3 linked regions of the Cricetulus griseus genome follow. The protein of the gene in region 2 purifies or fractionates together with the protein of the main gene of each other region. This does not show direct contact. Links are inferred from orthologs where the notes say so. Each region holds a gene or a part of one and is shown on either strand. Other genes may lie near its edges.

Region 1 (6,158 bases), on a different chromosome or scaffold from region 2:
ACTACTGAACAGCTGAGCCAGAGGGACCCCTGCCTCCAAATGCAAGTGCGTGGTCCCTGTGTCCAGACAGGACATGCCCCAGGTCAGGTTGCTGGGCTGATAGCAAAGCTGGAGTCAAAACTAAAGGGGGAACTACCCTTTCCCCCTTCCTCTTCTTAAGGCCTGGAGCCAGGACCTAGGTGATACCAGAATGGGGAACTTCTGGGTTTCAGAAGTCCAGGGAGCTGAGGAAGAAAGAGGGTGTGGGCAACAAGCCCAGCCCTGCCCCTAGGCACAGTGTCCCAATCCGGTTAAGCCCCTTCTGTGTGTAGTCCACTGGGACCCCAGGCAGCTCAGGTGTGAACTCAGCAGTCCATGGGGACACCCCAGGGAAGGCTGCCAGCCATGAGGGAGGCAAGGAGCCAGGCTGGGGGAGGGGACACTGGGCTGCAGAGGCGGGATCAGAGAGTGACAAAAGACAGGAAATAGTGCTACCAGCTCCAAGTCTGGACCAGCTTGGGATCTTCCCGGTGGCAAGATTGTTACTGTGAGATGGTTCAGATCTGCTCCAAGGGGAGTTCACCATCCTTGACCACCTGGGAGTTGAATCCAATCACGGTCACAGGTTAACGAATTTTAGAGTAAGGAGGGCCCCTCTAGAGTTGGGGTACAGGAAGGATAGCAGAGGCCTTTCCTATCCTTTCAGATGCTCTAATGAGGTAGAAGAGTCAGAGGCAGCACCTGTAGTCAAGAGTTCAGGACAGGGCAGAGTCCATGCTATGTCAACAGAGGAGAGCAGGAGGCTCACACAGCTGGGGGTAGGGAGCAGTAGCTGCCTGGGGAAGTGAAACCTAGAAGAGCATGAAAGAGTAGTCACATGAGGTCTGGAAAGCCAAGAGCTGGGGCAGCTGCCCCTGATACCCTATTCCAACCCCCCCCACACACACACACAACACACACATACACACACACTTCAGCCCTTCCCAGACTATAATTAGTCAGAATCCAGCTCCACCCTACCCACAACCCCACCCTAAACACAAACAGCCATTAGCCCTAGGAGAGGGGCTCTACCCAGCCCCTACCCCTATCTAACCACCCAATGGCTTGGCACAGAAGGGCAGTGAGGCTAATAGAGGCAGCCTCAGCCTCATCCACAGGTTCTCCAGAGCCTTGACTACCAGGCCTTGGTTGGAGTTCTAACTAACTTACCTTCTTTCCCTCACCAAGCCAGTTCTTTTACAAGAGGCCCTCAACAGAGACAAAAAGCTTACTCCCCGAATATCAAGAGCAAGGCAGGGAACAGGAAACAGCAAGAGGAATAGGAGGACATAAGCAAGGAGTGCCTGGCTGCAGGGTGACAGCCCTTTGTGGCAGAGAGGTATGTAAGGGATAGCCGACAAGCAAGGGATAGTGCTTGCTAGAAGATCCTTCCACCAGTGACCCTTGCCTATGTCCAATATCCCTGAGGAACCATTAGCACTAACCATCAGGAGAGGTACCAGGCAGTGGACAGGACATTAGATGTATGTTCTAGAATAGCTAAGGATCTGGTAGGGGGGACATGTGCCATATGGACACCTCCGTAGGCTGTCAGCCCAGCTCAACCCAATCCCTTCCAATTCAATCTCTTCTGCTCCACTAGCAGGGGCCAGGGCCAAGTCCCTGGGCTTCCTGCCCTTGGGCATCAGCTGCTGGCTCTACTTCCCAATGTGGTCTCCATCCAGGCTCCTGGGCAGTCACAAGCCCCAGGAGCCAACTCAGGAACATCCCAATGGCTTCTTGTAGGGACCTTTATCTGCTCACCTGTGGGATGTCCTGACCAATATCACATTACTAATGAGGGGCGGAGCCGGGAGGCGGTGCAGCCCTTCATTGAACAGCTGGTCAGTGAGAAGACAGGTAGGTGGCCTAAGGTTTAGCTCCAGGAAGATGTGCTTCCTGATCTAAGTCATTGCCAGGAGTGGGACCCATCCCAGGTGTCCTTAAACATGGTTTTAGGGAGTGAACCGGGTCTTCCACATGGGTCTGAAGTACTTCCTGCCCCATGGGCTCTCTCAGAGGAGCCTGGGCATATTCCAGGCCGGGCAGGGCCTACAAAGAAGCCGACCTTGAGGACCTTCTCTAACCCAAGGTGACACATGCCCTCCTACCCCGCCCCTGACTGGTCTGAGCAGCCATGGGAGGGAGGTGGTAGAGCTGCCTGGACTTGCCAGCCCCGCCCTCCTGGGGCTCTCAACCCCGCCCTCCTGGGGTTCTCAACCCACGGCCCGGAAGTGGGTCCCTTCAGCCTCCCCTTCTGCTTCAACCTCCTCTTTGGGTAGCTGGAATTGCTGGACTCGGCTGGATAATCCAAAATAATTCCTCCTTGGCAGGCAGCCCGTGGGGGAAGGGGGACTCACATTCCAAACTCTTGTTTTTCTAAGTAACTTCCCTGAGTTCCTGGGGCTAGGAACCTCTGTCCCGTCCTCAGGCCTCCCCAACTCCATGGAAGGGTGTGAGACTAGGTACCCAAGGAACCGTGGTCTACCTGCTTATTTCTGTCTTCTCTAGCAATTTCGATACAACACAATAAGGTTTGGCACATTCCACAAAACACCTCACATGCTCGCCCTACTTTCGTAGGAACTTCACCTCCTGACCAAAGAGCGAGAACTCTTCCCACTGGTAGTCCAACTTTCTAATGGCATTCCCTACGTACCAGGGTAGCATCCGGGTGTAGGATCAGGCTGACAGCTCCCACCTTAAAGGTGTGCGTGGGCAGCCTGAGGAGTTCAGCTTTAAAGCCATCAATACAGACCGAAGATAGACATTAGAAGGGGCACTCCCCAAGGCAAATGAGGGCCCTCAGAGCCTCTGTTCCTCAGGACATTACACTCACTGACTTTGGGCCTGGCTTCAGCTCCAGTTCTGACCACCACCACCACCATAGTGGCCACTGGCCCACCTCTCTTCCTGCCTTCTCCAAGGAGCTAGAAAAAGGAGTTAAGTGACGTGGCCAGAAACTCTAGGATTCTTAAGATCGGAAACCCCCAGACCGGGAGACACTACCCATCCACACACAAATCTGCCACACAGCCTGACCAGAGGAACAGTATGGGCACATGCATGAGAGCTCCCTGCGGAAGGTATATAGAAGTAAAGGGCTAGATTGTGAAAATACCTCCCAAGTTCTAAGCCTTCTGTCCTAGGTGTCCCTCCAAATATCACACCAACGAACTACACTAGAAGCTGCGGAGACCTTGCTGGGAGGCGTGGGGCCTCACCAGGTACTACTGGGTGTTAGTTCTCTCTGTCCCTTGTTCCCTGTCCCAGAAGGTGTGGGGACTGCTGCGGTTGTGCACCCCTGGAAAAAAGCTCCAGCAGAGCCCGGCTCTGCGCAGGCTTAGCTTGAGAACTGGGGCCTGGAGGTCCGGCATAACAGGGATGACTCTCTCTGGTCCTTCGATTCGGCAGGCTAAGAGGTAGGGGCGCCAGCCGCGAGGGAGGGTTTGAAACTACACTGGGTAGAGTGCAGCTCCATTAGATCGCTGGGACCCGGCCAGTCAGGCCAGTCTCCCAACATCCCGGCGCGGAGGGCCTCGTCGCCAACCGGTGGGGCAGGAGCAGCCAGGCCCAGCCGGTTGGACAGACAGACACAGGGCAAAGACGCAGGCCCGCGTCGCCCACAGCGCAGCGGCACTGCCCTAGCACCCCCGCGTCCGGGTGCGCAAGCCGAGGCCGAGCGGCGCGGAGAGCGAAGCCTGGGCCTGCGCGACGCCCCCCGCAGTTCCCGTCCCCAAGTGCGGTACCTGCTCCTCCGCAGCCGTCGCTCGATGGCGCCGGGGCCGCGCTCTGCGTTGCGCTCTGGCCCGCGCGGCTGCCATGGAGACGGGCCTTTGTGTGGCCGAGGAGGGGCCGGAGCGCGCGGGAGCCGCCGGCCCCGCCCCCGCCAGGGGAGAAGGAGGGCGGGGAGGACAGGGGCGGGTGAGAGGGAGGGACGAGACTAAGGGATAGAGGATAGCCGACCGAGGGTAGGAGGGGCAGCTGGCGTCCCTAGCGTACCCCGCGTTTCCCCCTGCTCAGAGCCACTTAAGCACACTGCTTTGCTTGGATGTTCGCTCCCTGTAGCAATCCGCGCGCCCTGCCTGCTGCAGTCGCGTCTCCCCCCACCCCCATCGCCCCGTCATCAGAGGAGTTCGCTGAGGCTGGGCACCACCCCGGGAGTGCCTCAGGCCGAAGTGAATTGGTGCACGCGGCCCGGCACTGGTGGGTGGCTTCGGCTGGGCCAGACCGAGGCCTTAAGTGTTCCTCTTGGAGATGGGCGGGGCGCAAGGAACCTCGCCACCAGATTGGCAACAGGGGGACCACGCTCGTGTCCTTCCCGAGGGTGATTCTTTCTCCGGGATTCTAGCCGCTCAGTCTCCTGCAGAATAGCTGGAACTCTGCTCTCATTGCCCTCCTTCCTGGTCCCCTGGCCCATCATATCTGGGCCTTAGCGACCCCCAAGTCTTCATCTATTGGGTAGGACAGAACTACTCCCTAGAGTTCCTACTTCTTTCTGATCTCCAAGTCACCCATGCTGTGGCCCCATGGATTTGTAACTTGGCGATGACCCCACTGTCGCAGAACAGGGTTTGGGACTAGTTTGCATAGCTCAGCTCGTGTCTACCCTGCAGTATCTATCGCCTCCACCCAAAATTGCCCTCCTTGAAGACTGCCTACTTCCTATTTCCTTAGGCATCTCCTCCCCAACTTTGGGGATCCACCCCAATTCTTAAGCCTTCCCCAGCAAAAGACTACAAATCTGAGGGTTTTGCCGGTTGTGTAAGCAAGACTGACTTGCCCCATCGCCAAGCAGCTAGGCTTTATCATATTACCTTCTTCCCTCCAACAACAGTTTCCCCCCCCCCCACATACACACACATACCAAGGGACTTCAAAATATCTAGTAATTTGCAGGGCTGCAAAATCTGTATCAAAAAAAAAATAAGTATTTTACCACAAAAAGATATTTTAATACCAAAGTTGTGGGAAGGCCAGTATTCCAAACTGAGTGGGGCTCAAAATAGAAGGCAGGAAGCTGGAGGGTAAAAGATCCCTCCTGTTCTTCCGGTCTTGTCCCTGGGGCTGGCTGCCTCATGACCTCCACCCAGCCCTCCTAGATCCCTTGAATGCTGGCTCACAGCTCTCTCCAATATGCCACACAAGGGAGCCCTGGGGATCACTGCATCTTGGATTTTTTTTTTTTTTTTTCACTATCCAGGCATCTTAACCATGAGGGCCCTTGGGCTTGGGGGGAGGGAAGCACTTCCTTGAAGCCATCTGTCTTCTCTCCAGGCCCTGCCCTGGGCATGGACTTGAAGTCTTTAACCTACTCTGGACAGAAACCCCCACTAACTCAGCTGATCCCATCCTGGGAGAGCTAGAGTAGAAGAGGATGTAGCTGGTAGGAGGCCCCAGGCTGTAAACTCTACCCAGTAGCCAGGACAAGCACCTAAAAGGAGATGGTACTTTTTCCTCATTCCTATATGCCTTGGGTCTATGCCCTAGGAAGTACTGTTGTGAACACACACGCCACATAACCCCTAAATCTGTTTCTGAGTCCCATGTCCAGTGTTCTGAGAATGACTGATTGCTAGGACAGAAGCTAATTAGTCCCAGGTGGATGGTGTCGGAGGTCCATGGGAGCCACTATGAAGCTTACTGTATGACAGCCCCCAGAAAGTGAAGGGAAAACACAACACATTGCAGTGGCATTTGAGATGTGCTCTTTAGAGTGAGACCAATAAGACCTGGGAGCTTCAGACCTTGCCACTCTATACTTGGATATGAGGCTGGGCACACCAAAGGCACAGTTTCAGACTCCAAATGGCTAGCACTGTGCTGTCCCCATAGCCTGGAAGCTCCATCTGTCACAGTGGAAGATGCCATATTTCTGAAGATCCCTTAGAGACCAGGCTTTTGGTGGTGAGGCTGGCACCTCTGTTTCAGGAGGTGCCAGGGCCACTCTTCCTAATGCCAAGGACTCAACCTCCACCTGCTCTGCTCAGTTTTCTAACAGGACACTGAGAATGATTTAGCTCACTGTACACCTTCATCACATCTATCTTGTCTATTTCCTTGCCTGTAAAATGCATACAACGTGACAAACTGTTATAGCCTGAGGTCATAGGGGTAAGGGAGAAACAAAGATCTAG
Region 2 (6,226 bases):
CAGGGCAGATGGCCATGGGTCAATGACTGACTGATAGGCCTCTTGCAGGAGCCTGAGCATGGAGTGTTGATGAGGCTGGGGCGGATGTGGGGACGACCAAGTCCTGGCTCTGGGTCTTAGTGGCTTAATCTAAACAGCAGCCTCCCCCTGGGGTTCAGTCCTCAAGTCTGCAAAATAAGAAGTAGGACCATCCACTGAGCCTACCTCACAGTGTGAGAACTGAGAGCAATAACGCACAAGAAATAATATCTGGGGGCAGCTTTAGCGTCTTACCTGGGTCCATGTGCTGCCATTGGCCTCTTAACTATCATTGGAGCTTAAACAAGAAGGTACGCTCTCTAGGCCTCAGTTTCCACCTCTGTAGAATGGAGCTAGCAACCCGTGCCTCCTAGTGGACAGTCTCTGAATAGCAACTACCACCGTCGGTGGGTGGTGGTATTATTAGGAGGTAGACAGAGAAACTGTAAAGTGTGACAGTTGCCAAGTGTGTCATTAGAGTGATTATCCCTACAGCAACAAAGGCCAACTGCCTCTGCCTGACTCTCAGCTTCCTCCACCCTTGGTCCGGCTCCACCTGCCCGCCAGGCTGGCCTGGTGACAGCAGCAGCAGCAGCAGCAGCAGCAGCGGGGATGACTAGGCTGACAGCTGACTGGAATGGGGGGAACAGGGCCCCTCCTCACCACTCCTTAGATGGGGCATCCTGCTCAGCTACACACCCAGCCTCCTGACATGTCCTGCCCAGCCCTGGGGCAGTTTCGGGGAAGGGGCATCCAAAAGGTGGAGCTGTCCTGGGGAGGTTCCCTCTATGCAGTTGACCTCTGGCCACCGCCCTGAGGGAAACTGGAAACTGCCTCCTTGGGACACAATGAGGATCAAGTAGGGCTGAAGGTTCTTTTCACCTGATTTTGAATACCATAGGGGGTGACGTCATGACCAGTGTGGGGGTGGGAGATGAAACCCAAAGACTTCTGACTCTGTTCTACTTAGCTTCCATGTAAACATCCAGCCCAAGGTCTGGGGAGACAAGGAGACCCTTCTCCCCACTTTTTTAGACAGGACATCCAGCCCAAGCTATCCTTAAACTTTCTGTATAGACAAGCTGACATTGACTGAACTTCTGATCCTCCTGCCTAAACCTCACCAGTACTGGAATTTCAAGCATGCACATCCAAGCTCAGCTTTTGTGGTACTGAGGATGGAATCCAGGCTTTCATGCGTGCTAGTTAAGCATTCTAGCAAAAGTGCTACATTCCCAGCCTACTTATGCCCAATATAAATATCAGTAAGTTTCCAGTTCAATATTAGATTTATTTATGAAATCCAAAATGCTCCACCATCCAGATACCAGCTCCTCAGCCAAACCCCGCCCTCTATCCCAGCAATGGGAAGGTGGGGGCATGGCTACCTTATGCCAGCCTCTTTGATGTTCTCTTTGAAACACCTGCAACTTTTTCTTCAAGATTCCTCTTCTCCCGTGAGAAAGGTCCTCCTTGTCTACCCCAGGTGAGGCGTCCATTTGTCTTTCTCCTGTCCTCTTGCCTCAGGTAGTTCTTCTCACACTGATGTCTCCCATTCTGGGCTTCTTATAGTAGAGGTTTTGACTTAAACAGTGCAGGAGCTCCAGACTTTTTGTTTAGTTTAGTTTTTTTTGTTTTTTGTTTTTTGTTTTTTTTCAAGACAGGGTTTCTCTGTATCTCTGGCTGTCCTGGAACTCACTCTGTAGACCAGGCAGGCCTGGAACTCAGAGATCCACTTGCCTATGCCTCCTGAGTGCTGGGATTAAACGCATGCGCCACCACCGTCCAGCCCCCAGACTCTTGGAAACTAAGGACCATCTGTGTTGATTAAATATTATACCAAGGAGCTGGCTAGATGGCCTAGAGGTTAAGAGCATTGGCTGCTATTCCAGAGAACCCAGGTTCACCCATGTGGTGGTTCATAACTGTCTGTAATTCCAGTTCCAAGCCTTCGGAGGGCAGTGGGCACCAAGTACGTGGTGCACAGACATACATGCAGATAAAACACCCATACACAAAAAAAATAACATTTAAAAGTATTATACTAAGAACCACTCATGGCATCAGCCACATGCCACAGCCTGATACGAGCTCCATAGATGGAAGTTTCCACAGTTTTCCCTAGATCACTGCCTGCCTGGGTGAAAGAGGTAGTAATTCACCTTCATTGAAGATTGCTGGTGCTGACCAAAGAGGTCCTGCAGGGACCCACGAGGGCATGCCCGGGCTACTCCCTTCTCACCTGACCTACATTTGAAGGAAGCCTGGATTGTTAGGTCCCCAAGCACAGAAACTCTCATTCATTCATTCATTCATTCACTCATTCATTCATTCATTCATAAAAGATCACCTCCCTCCCATGGCGATGGGCCAGGCCAGGTGCTTCTTCCCTCCCTGTCCTCAACTCCTCTCCAACTACCTGTTTACTTGTTTGTTTGTTTTTTCTCCCAGGAGCCCTAGGTGCCCTCTGAGGCATAGGTCTCCGCCCACCCCTGTGGCCTTAATGACTGCGCACAGTCGATGCTCCGAAAGTGTTTCTTGAAAGGCCAGATAGGACGCCAGGAGACCGTACCCCAGGAGCGCTGCACGCCTGGCTGGCCGCCGCACCCCGATCCTGGTCAGAGCCTCTCACCTGAGCTGGGTGTCCCCCCGCCCCCCGGGCCGCCTCCTGCCGCTCCCACTTCCTCCCGCCGCCCCGCCCCTTCCACATTCCTGTCCCGCCGAGCCAGCCCCGCGCCCGCCGCCGCCAGCCCGCCGCGCACCACCCGCTGCTCTGCGCACGGCTGTCCGCTCGCCCGCCCGCTCGCCCGCCCGGGATGAAGGCGGCCCAGGCTGCGGGAGAGGAGGCGCCGCTAAGCGGGTGCTCGGTCAAAGTGGTCCTGGTGGGCGACGGGGGCTGCGGGAAGACATCGCTGATGATGGTCTTCGCCGACGGGGCCTTCCCAGAGGTGAGTGCCCTCACCCTTGGCCTTGCGCAGTCCCCGCGCTGGAACGCACCAGTGTGCGGGTGGGTCTGCCGAGAACTGCCTGGAAATACCCAATTCCAGCCTCCTGGGGGTTCCCAACAGAGCCTGGGGTCGAAGGCAGAGTTTTTCAGAAGTAGCCAGTAGGATCGAAGTGAGACTAATGGCATTTAGGGGGAGGGGTGTCACAGGAACTGAATTAGGCCACTTGGGGAAACAGCAAATCCTAAGAGAGCAGTTGGTGTCACAACTTGGCTAAGAGAGTGAGGACTTTGGAGCCAGACTGGCAGCGTCAAACCAAGCCTTTGCCTCTTACAGCTGTGTGCCTTTGGGCAAGTCCCTTACCCTCTCTGTGCCTGTTTCTTTAACTGCATGATAGGACTAGCAGTCCCCTCCTGAGTTTATACAAGAGCGAGCCGATAGGGGTCAAGAGCTCAGCTCCAAGTCTGCATGCGAGAAGGACTCAACTGAAAGTTGATAAATGATGCCCCTTGGGAGGTACAGTTCTTCTCCGACCCTGGCCACTATGGTGCAAATCCCATTCTTTACCATAGAGAGGAAAATGGGGAACATAGACCTTCTCTAAAGAGCCCTGTTCGACTTATGATTTGCTTTGACTCTAAGCCTCGGTTTCTCAAAGCAACCTCACGGGAGGGAAGGGAGTAAGGAAGGTGAGGCAGAAGGCTGATGGACACTCAGTGCAGTACCTGGTATAGCCTGCCTCTCTGGGCTTGTGACTGTGGGTCCTCCAGGACAGGCTCTCCAGGCAGTTCAGCAGGGCCAGTGACCAGAACAGTGGCTGAGCCCACTTTCTATGCCTCCATGAGGAGTGGGATTTCTAGGTGCTCCTGAGTTTGCCTCCAGCAGCACGTCTTTTTCCTTTCCTATCCCTGCATCCTTCCAGCCTCTGGGATTGCGCAGAGCTGGGCAGTGTAATGGAGGAGTTGGAGAAGCTGGTCTGGCAAACGGTGCCAGGGCTTGCTTGCCACTCTACACCAGTGAGCTATTGGTTTTTATGTTTTTGGACCTTAGTGGTTTCCGTTTTGTTTTTGAGACAGGATGTTACTGTGTAGGCTTTGAATGCTCCATCCTCAGCTCTCTCACCCTGAGGGTTGCTGGGATTACATGTATGTGCCACCATACCCAGCTCAGAGCCTTTGGATTTGTGGTTTGCAAAATTGACGTCACCTCCTTTGACCAGTTACACAATTTTTTGAAGTTGAAGAGATAGTTTCCAGGTCTCTAGGTGCTGCTCACGGAAACCTGACTGTTGTGGCAGCTGAGGATCAGAGGAAGGCACTTAGAGACAGAGGCAGAGGGCTCAGCATCATTGTCCTGCATCAGACATTCTAGATGGTGACATTGACCGCAGGGGCCGTACTATTTTCATATAGAAACACCTTTCAGTCCATGAACTATGTATGTTTTACAGGACACCTTGGAGTGAGAGTAGTCACCAGGGGGCTGGACCAACCTTGTCCTTTTTCTCCCTTTGTCTGGGAGTTCCCTGACATGAGAGAGAGAGAGAGAGAGAGAGAGAGAGAGAGAGAGAGAGAGAGAGAGAGAGAGAGAGAGCTCTTTTTAGTTAGTTATCAAGCTAGTTTTGTTTTTGAGACAAAGTCTCCATTTGTATCCTAGGTTCATCTCAAATACTCCTGCCACTGTAGTGCTAGGATTATAGATATGTAACATTACCACATCTGGTTGTTATTTTGTTTATCTGAGACAGGGTTTCTCTGTGTATGTAGACCTGGCTATCAAGGAATTCCCATCTGCAGATCAGACTAGCCTCTAACTCAGACAATCACCTGCCTCTGCCTCCCAGTGCTGGGTTTTGTTTGTTTTGAGACAAGGTCTCAAGGAGTCCATGCTGACCTCAGATTCAATGTGTAGCCACTGATGCCTCCTAATCTTTCCTCCACTTCCCAGCTCAGACCATCTTGCCCTCCCCAGGGCACTCTATGACCTCTGAAGTCACTACTGTTGTCTGTTGACCAGTTTCAGCCTGTTCTGCCTCAGGCAGCCCTAAAAGCCCAAGGAGCCAGCAGCCTGGAGGCTTAGGGTCCGGTAGTCTTGAGGCTTTCTGATTGCAGCAAAGGGCAGAGAAGAGAGCACGCTGGGAATGTGGAGCAGCCTCTGTGACCTTCACAGGCTGTAACCCAACTTCAAGTTCAAGGCAGAGGGGGCAAAATAGAGCTTATGAGGCATGGAGAGACATCAGTCCCCAAAAAGTCTCAGCTGCCATTGTAGCCTACAAGACTGGGCCAGGAGATTGGAGAGAGACCCAGCCTGCAGAGCCAGCCAAGTCCAAAGTCTTTTCAGACTGCTCCAGTTTCCATAGGCATCTTACCTGGGGAACCCTCTCCTCATTCTGTTATGGTCACCTGTCTGTGAACCCCAGGAGGGCAGGCCCAGGGCTGAGTCATCTCCATCCTGGGTCAACCTAGGCCAGCCCTTGTGTCTCTGACTGAACAAAACTGAACAGATAAGATTAAGCACTTCTGCCTAGGGGGTCAAAGAACAGCTCAAAAGGTATAGATAAAGTCACATTCCAAAACAAGGGGTGGGGCAGTGACTCTTCTCAGTGAGGAGGTAACACAGCCCCTTCCAGCTCACATCTGGTCTGTATGATGTCAGAAGCAAATATTGATGACCTCAGAAGAGGAAAGTGGCTGGTGTAGCCCCTAAAAACCAACAGCACTGGCTCAGCTTCTGCCTAGCCCAGCTAGTGCATGGCCCTAGGCAAATCACTTTCCTCAGAGCCTCTGAAAGTCTGCTAAGGTTGTAGGAGTCCAGGAGAAGAGCCTTAGGGAGCAGTGGGCTGAGGCCATCTTCACAGACTCGTGAAGCACTGGCCTGTCTCCCAAGAGCTTTGTTATGGGTCATCCCACATCCTGAAGCTCGGATCAGGAGAGCCCCTCAACTGGCATGTAGGTAACCACATGAGGGTCTCAGATGCAGAAGATCAGTTTCTCCACAGTGACAGGTTCTTGCTCTAGGGTGGAGGCCAGAGGCTACAATTTGGGATGTGAAAGGGAATACAGAGGATGGATAGGGGTGGTATGGATACTGAGAACCAGGTAATTAGTGACCATCCATGCTGCAACAGGTCTTCCCTTTGCAGTCCCGTGGTGACACTTTTTCTCTTAACCAGTGATGGTGCAGGCCCAAGGCCACACACAACTAACTAGTGGCTGTCAGAGCTGGGTCCTAAACCAGGCTCATCTGACCTCAAAGCCAGTGTT
Region 3 (4,557 bases), on a different chromosome or scaffold from region 2:
CCAACATCAATCCTTAATCAAGAAAATGCTCCCCACAGATTTGCCCATAGGCCAGACTGTTGTAGCCAATTCCTCATTTGAAGTGCCGCTCATCCCAGATATGTCTAGTTGACAAAAACTAACCTGCACAATCTTTCAGCTGCCACCATACTCCTTTTACTTCATTCTCTCCTTCAAACTTGAGTAGTAGGCATTATTTCCCAGTGATCAGATTGAGTTATTTGGTGTGGTTTATTGATCTCAAGTTCAGAGGCTGTGTTCACAAACATCAGCTAATCTCAGTACTACCTTCCAGGCATACCAAATAAATAAGGAGGCAGTATGTGCCACATGGCCACCATTAGAGATCCACCTCTGATACACCACAGCAGAAACAAGACAAACAGTATCCATGGGTGTGGTCCAAACTGCCATCATGAGAATCCTATTCTTTCTTGTGTTTGTAAAAGAAGGGGTCCCCTATCCTGGAGTCCTGACCTATGACCTACCTCATCAAGGAGCCAAAATACAGAACCAACTGGGCTATTTATTTATTTATTTAAGCGCACATGCAGAGAACCCCGTGTTTTTGTATGTGGGAACATTAATCTAGCCTGAGGTTCTTTTGGATTTCTAAGACTAAAATATACATGACTTCATCATCACTAGAATTCCTAGATAAAAAGATCATCCATGATGGCTTAAAGTGCATGAACTTGAATATTTTAGGAGCTCAGCTGTAGACCGTTTATTGCTGTTTTGTTCATTCCAGAACTTTTAGAAATAAGCTTATAAAACCATGAATCAAGCTAGACTACTCTAATGTGGTGCATGAAGAATGTTATGTTTTTCTCTAAAGAGTTCTGTTTTGTAATAGAATATTTCCAAATAAGTAAAACATTGAGAACAGCTCCACATTAAGAGAAATGGAAGAAAATATATTTTAAAATAGGAGGGCCAGTGAGATGCTTTAGTGAGTGAAACCACTTTGCATGCAATCCTGATGGCCTGATGACCTCCCACCAGGAGAAGAGAAGTGACTCTAAAAGTTGCCCTCTGACCTCCACATGGCACGCATGCACCTGCACACTTACACATATATACACATGATAACTAAATTTAAAATAATAAAATTATTATGAAATATGTACAAATATGCATATCAGTCAAAATTGTTATCTATAAGAACATTGAAAACATGCATAATATTACTAAAATATCAGAAGCTTTAACAATAATGCAAGAAAAATCAAGCCAATTAGAAACCATGGAATTGCTGTGATCTGAATAAGGTCTGATCAGAATGTAGTTGAGTAGCACAGGAAAGAGAATTCAGTTGAGTACGAAGCCTGGTCTCTAAGCTGGGCTGCACAGGGCCAGCAGCCCTGGGCCCTTCCCACCACAGGAGCTCAGTGCTGACAGTAATGGCACTGTCCTGGGGTAGTCCAGGTGATGCTGAGACTTGGGATAGCAAACTCTCCAAGTTACTAAGGAAAGCCCTCTGAGAACAAAAGACAGAAACAGTTAAGAGGTTTGAAAAGAAACTGCACATACTGTTTTGTTACTTTACATTTTGTTTAAATTTTTTAAATTATCCCTAACTTTGTATTTGTCAGCTTTAGAAAGAGACATTAAACGAATTTCTGAGAACATTGTAGGATTGGCCTAAAGTAATCTCAATCAGAAACTTTGGATGCCATTAATGACTCCACAGTCAGTTATTCTTTCCTAATTAGAGCTGGGGCAGCCTAAAGACAACATTAGCATTATTTATGGATAGGAAAAAGCAGCTGGGAAGTCCTGGGTCCCATTTGTTTTTCATATTCACCATATGGCCCCAATAAATGGTATTAAACTACTTCAAAGGAAAGCTTAAAGTACAAGGTTTCCGACCCCTGCTGTGCTTGCTTTTAGTCTCTGGGTCTCCGGTGTCCTGTCCTGCAGTATTTTGCCTTCTTGTGTTTACTGTTGTTTAGTTAAGACAGTGTTGTATGTGGAAACCATAGATGTTACGCTGAAATGAAATGGACAGGATACAATGGCTTCAGAAGTTGGGGAGTATTCAGTTTCCAGCTTTGCAAATGATGAGTAGGTGTGTTCAGTGGCTGAAGAGAAACAATGGGCTGCTAAAATCCTTCAGTTATATTTGAGCTTTCAGCCTTCTAGGGAGAATTCATTTTGACTGTGGAGTCAGTTCTTTTGAAACACTGAGGTCTTCTTCTTCTTCTTCTTCTTTTTTTTTTTTTTTAAATTTTTTTCTCCAGTTCACTAAAGCAGTGAAGCACTTTGGGGAAGAGGCTGGCAAAATACAGCCAGATGAGTTCTTTGGGATATTTGACCAGTTTCTTCAAGCTGTGGCAGAAGCGAAACAGGAGAATGAGAACATGAGGAAAAGGAAAGAGGAGGAAGAGAGGCGGGCTCGCATGGAAGCTCAGGTAAGAGGAGACTCACCCAGCAGGTCCTCCTGGACCCCTCGCTGCAGCCCTCCAGTTTCTGTGATTCAGTCTTTCCCTTCTGTGGTACTGGGGACCAAACCAGGGCCACATGATAGACAGGTACTCCAGCACCCAGGTATGTATGGCCCAGAGCCAGGCCCTTTATTTCCAGAGCACTGTGCTGCACTGTCAAGGAGGGGAGAACCATGCATTCTAGAGTGACTCAGATAGCTTAGATCCATACCACGTTTCTCTTGAGCGATTTGGGAGTTTCTCTCCAAAGACTGAAAAATCCTGTCCACATCCCACGAGTGGAGCTCCTTAGAAATTACCTTCAAGAAACAATTATAAGTTTCCAAAAGGACATTAGCATTCTTTGTAAGAGCCCTAAATTACCTGTGTTAACTCCCTCAAATGCAGAAAGAGAGAGAGAGAATGTAATGAAACTTACCTTCACTGTCCATTGATTTTTCAGTTAGCCTTTACATTACCCACACAGGTTAGCAGCCACAGCTGATAGATACATGGCTGCATGTAAGAAAGAGATTCACTCCCTACCGCAGGGCACAGAATTCTTCTGTGCTGAAAACAAAATACACCTTAATCCTAAAAGGATTCTCTCTATGTGCAGCTCAAAGAACAACGGGAAAGGGAGCGCAAGATGAGGAAGGCCAAGGAGAACAGTGAAGAAAGCGGAGAGTTTGACGATCTGGTCTCAGCTTTACGCTCAGGAGAAGTGTTTGACAAAGACCTTTCCAAACTCAAACGGAACCGCAAACGCATTTCCAACCAGGTGACGGATGGTAGCCGGGAGCGACCAATCACAAAACTGAATTTTTAATTTTCTTGCATCCTTTTCTAGAAAGCGCAGTAGCAGCCCTTTGGCCTGACTAGAACTTTTCATTACACTGCCTTGCAATCAAAACAGTGGCAATTTCTTCTCTCACCTGTGAGTGAAGGTGTGAATGTGTGTGTGTAAATGTATGTGTATATATGTGAAAATGTATATAGACGTCTGAGTGTTGTCCAGGGACCTATGTGTATGCTTCAAAAGTTTATGTTAATGTGTGTGCTCAGAAACTCTCTGTGTATGCATTCATGTCGAGTGGGGCTCATTTTCTTTCCCTGAACACCATGAATGTTCAGAAGCACAATTCTCCCTCCCGAAACAGGTAACAGACATTCCTTAACATTAAAAACAAAACAAAACAAAAAAAAAAAAAAAGAGAAGGAAGAAAAGAAGAAAACAGGATGTTTTTTAAAAAAGGTGTGTCTTGTGGAGTATTTTATGGTTCCCAGAGTTAGTGTAGTGAGACAGTTTTTACTGGTAGAATTGGAGTTGGAAAATACAGATCTGGATGAGTTTGGTGGTTCCAGTCGGGCACTGCTGCCTGCATCACTGACTAACTTGGAAGAACAGCTTCAAGTTCCCGATGCTGCTGTTGGGTTTCAGTCTACAGATGTCTGTTGAGAGCATCTTGCACACATTCATACCATGTAGAACATCAGTCACAATTCTTTTGTATATTTGAAACTTGAACACCAGGTTTTCTCCCCTAATTTCATCTCTTGGTGATTTATTTTCTTTTTCTTTCTTTTCTTTTTTTTTTTTTTTTTGAAAACATGGTTTCTAAATAATGTCACCTACATCCTGGTTAAAGGCCAGGATTTCCAGAACCTTGTTGTTGACCTAACAATACAGATTTGTAAACCTGGACAATGAAATTTCCCACCGAAGACTCAGTGGAAGAAAGAACTCCCTGAAGATTCTTTTTAAAGGCATATGGGGTGCTTTTGGGGTGTCTTCTGTTTCCTGTGTAGGCCATGCTGCATATCTTGGGATAAAGGACACTCACAGTGACACAAAATGTCAACAGTATCTACAGGGATGCTCAGATCTATTTATCTCAAAGGATATTTGAAGCGATTGCTGTTAAGTGTTGTCATTTTAAATTGTGTGTCAGTGAAGCTACCTGTACATCTTCAGTCCAAAAAAAAAACAAAAAACAAAAAACAAAAAAAAAAAAAACAAAACAAAGCTCTCAGGGAGAAATGATGAAACAATGAACATTAGAAAATAAAATATAGATGCTTACCACTGACCTGCCAACTCTTAGTATCCTTAAATTATATGGTATGTAAA

Evidence for each region.
Region 1: the proteins of Rhod (region 2) and Plxnb2 purify together in Homo sapiens (affinity purification with mass spectrometry; 3 studies listed by BioGRID and IntAct, counting the BioPlex papers as one, with this or other methods). This does not show direct contact. The link is inferred for Cricetulus griseus from reciprocal best matches to the Homo sapiens genes RHOD and PLXNB2.
Region 3: the proteins of Rhod (region 2) and Daam1 purify together in Homo sapiens (affinity purification with mass spectrometry; 3 studies listed by BioGRID and IntAct, counting the BioPlex papers as one, with this or other methods). This does not show direct contact. The link is inferred for Cricetulus griseus from reciprocal best matches to the Homo sapiens genes RHOD and DAAM1.

What each region holds. Positions count from the first base shown.
Region 1 is NC_048595.1:385,931,556-385,937,713, forward strand, and holds the start of Plxnb2 (plexin-B2), read right to left. Parts: upstream 3,916-6,158; 5' UTR 3,771-3,915; intron 1-3,770.
Region 2 is NC_048596.1:54,832,872-54,839,097, forward strand, and holds the start of Rhod (rho-related GTP-binding protein RhoD), read left to right. Parts: upstream 1-2,740; 5' UTR 2,741-2,834; coding exon 2,835-2,966; intron 2,967-6,226. UniProt on the Homo sapiens protein: Involved in endosome dynamics. May coordinate membrane transport with the function of the cytoskeleton. Involved in the internalization and trafficking of activated tyrosine kinase receptors such as PDGFRB.
Region 3 is NC_048598.1:131,430,494-131,435,050, reverse strand, and holds part of Daam1 (disheveled-associated activator of morphogenesis 1), read left to right. Parts: intron 1-2,243; coding exon 2,244-2,414; intron 2,415-3,045; coding exon 3,046-3,255; 3' UTR 3,256-4,557. UniProt on the Homo sapiens protein: Binds to disheveled (Dvl) and Rho, and mediates Wnt-induced Dvl-Rho complex formation. May play a role as a scaffolding protein to recruit Rho-GDP and Rho-GEF, thereby enhancing Rho-GTP formation. Can direct nucleation and elongation of new actin filaments.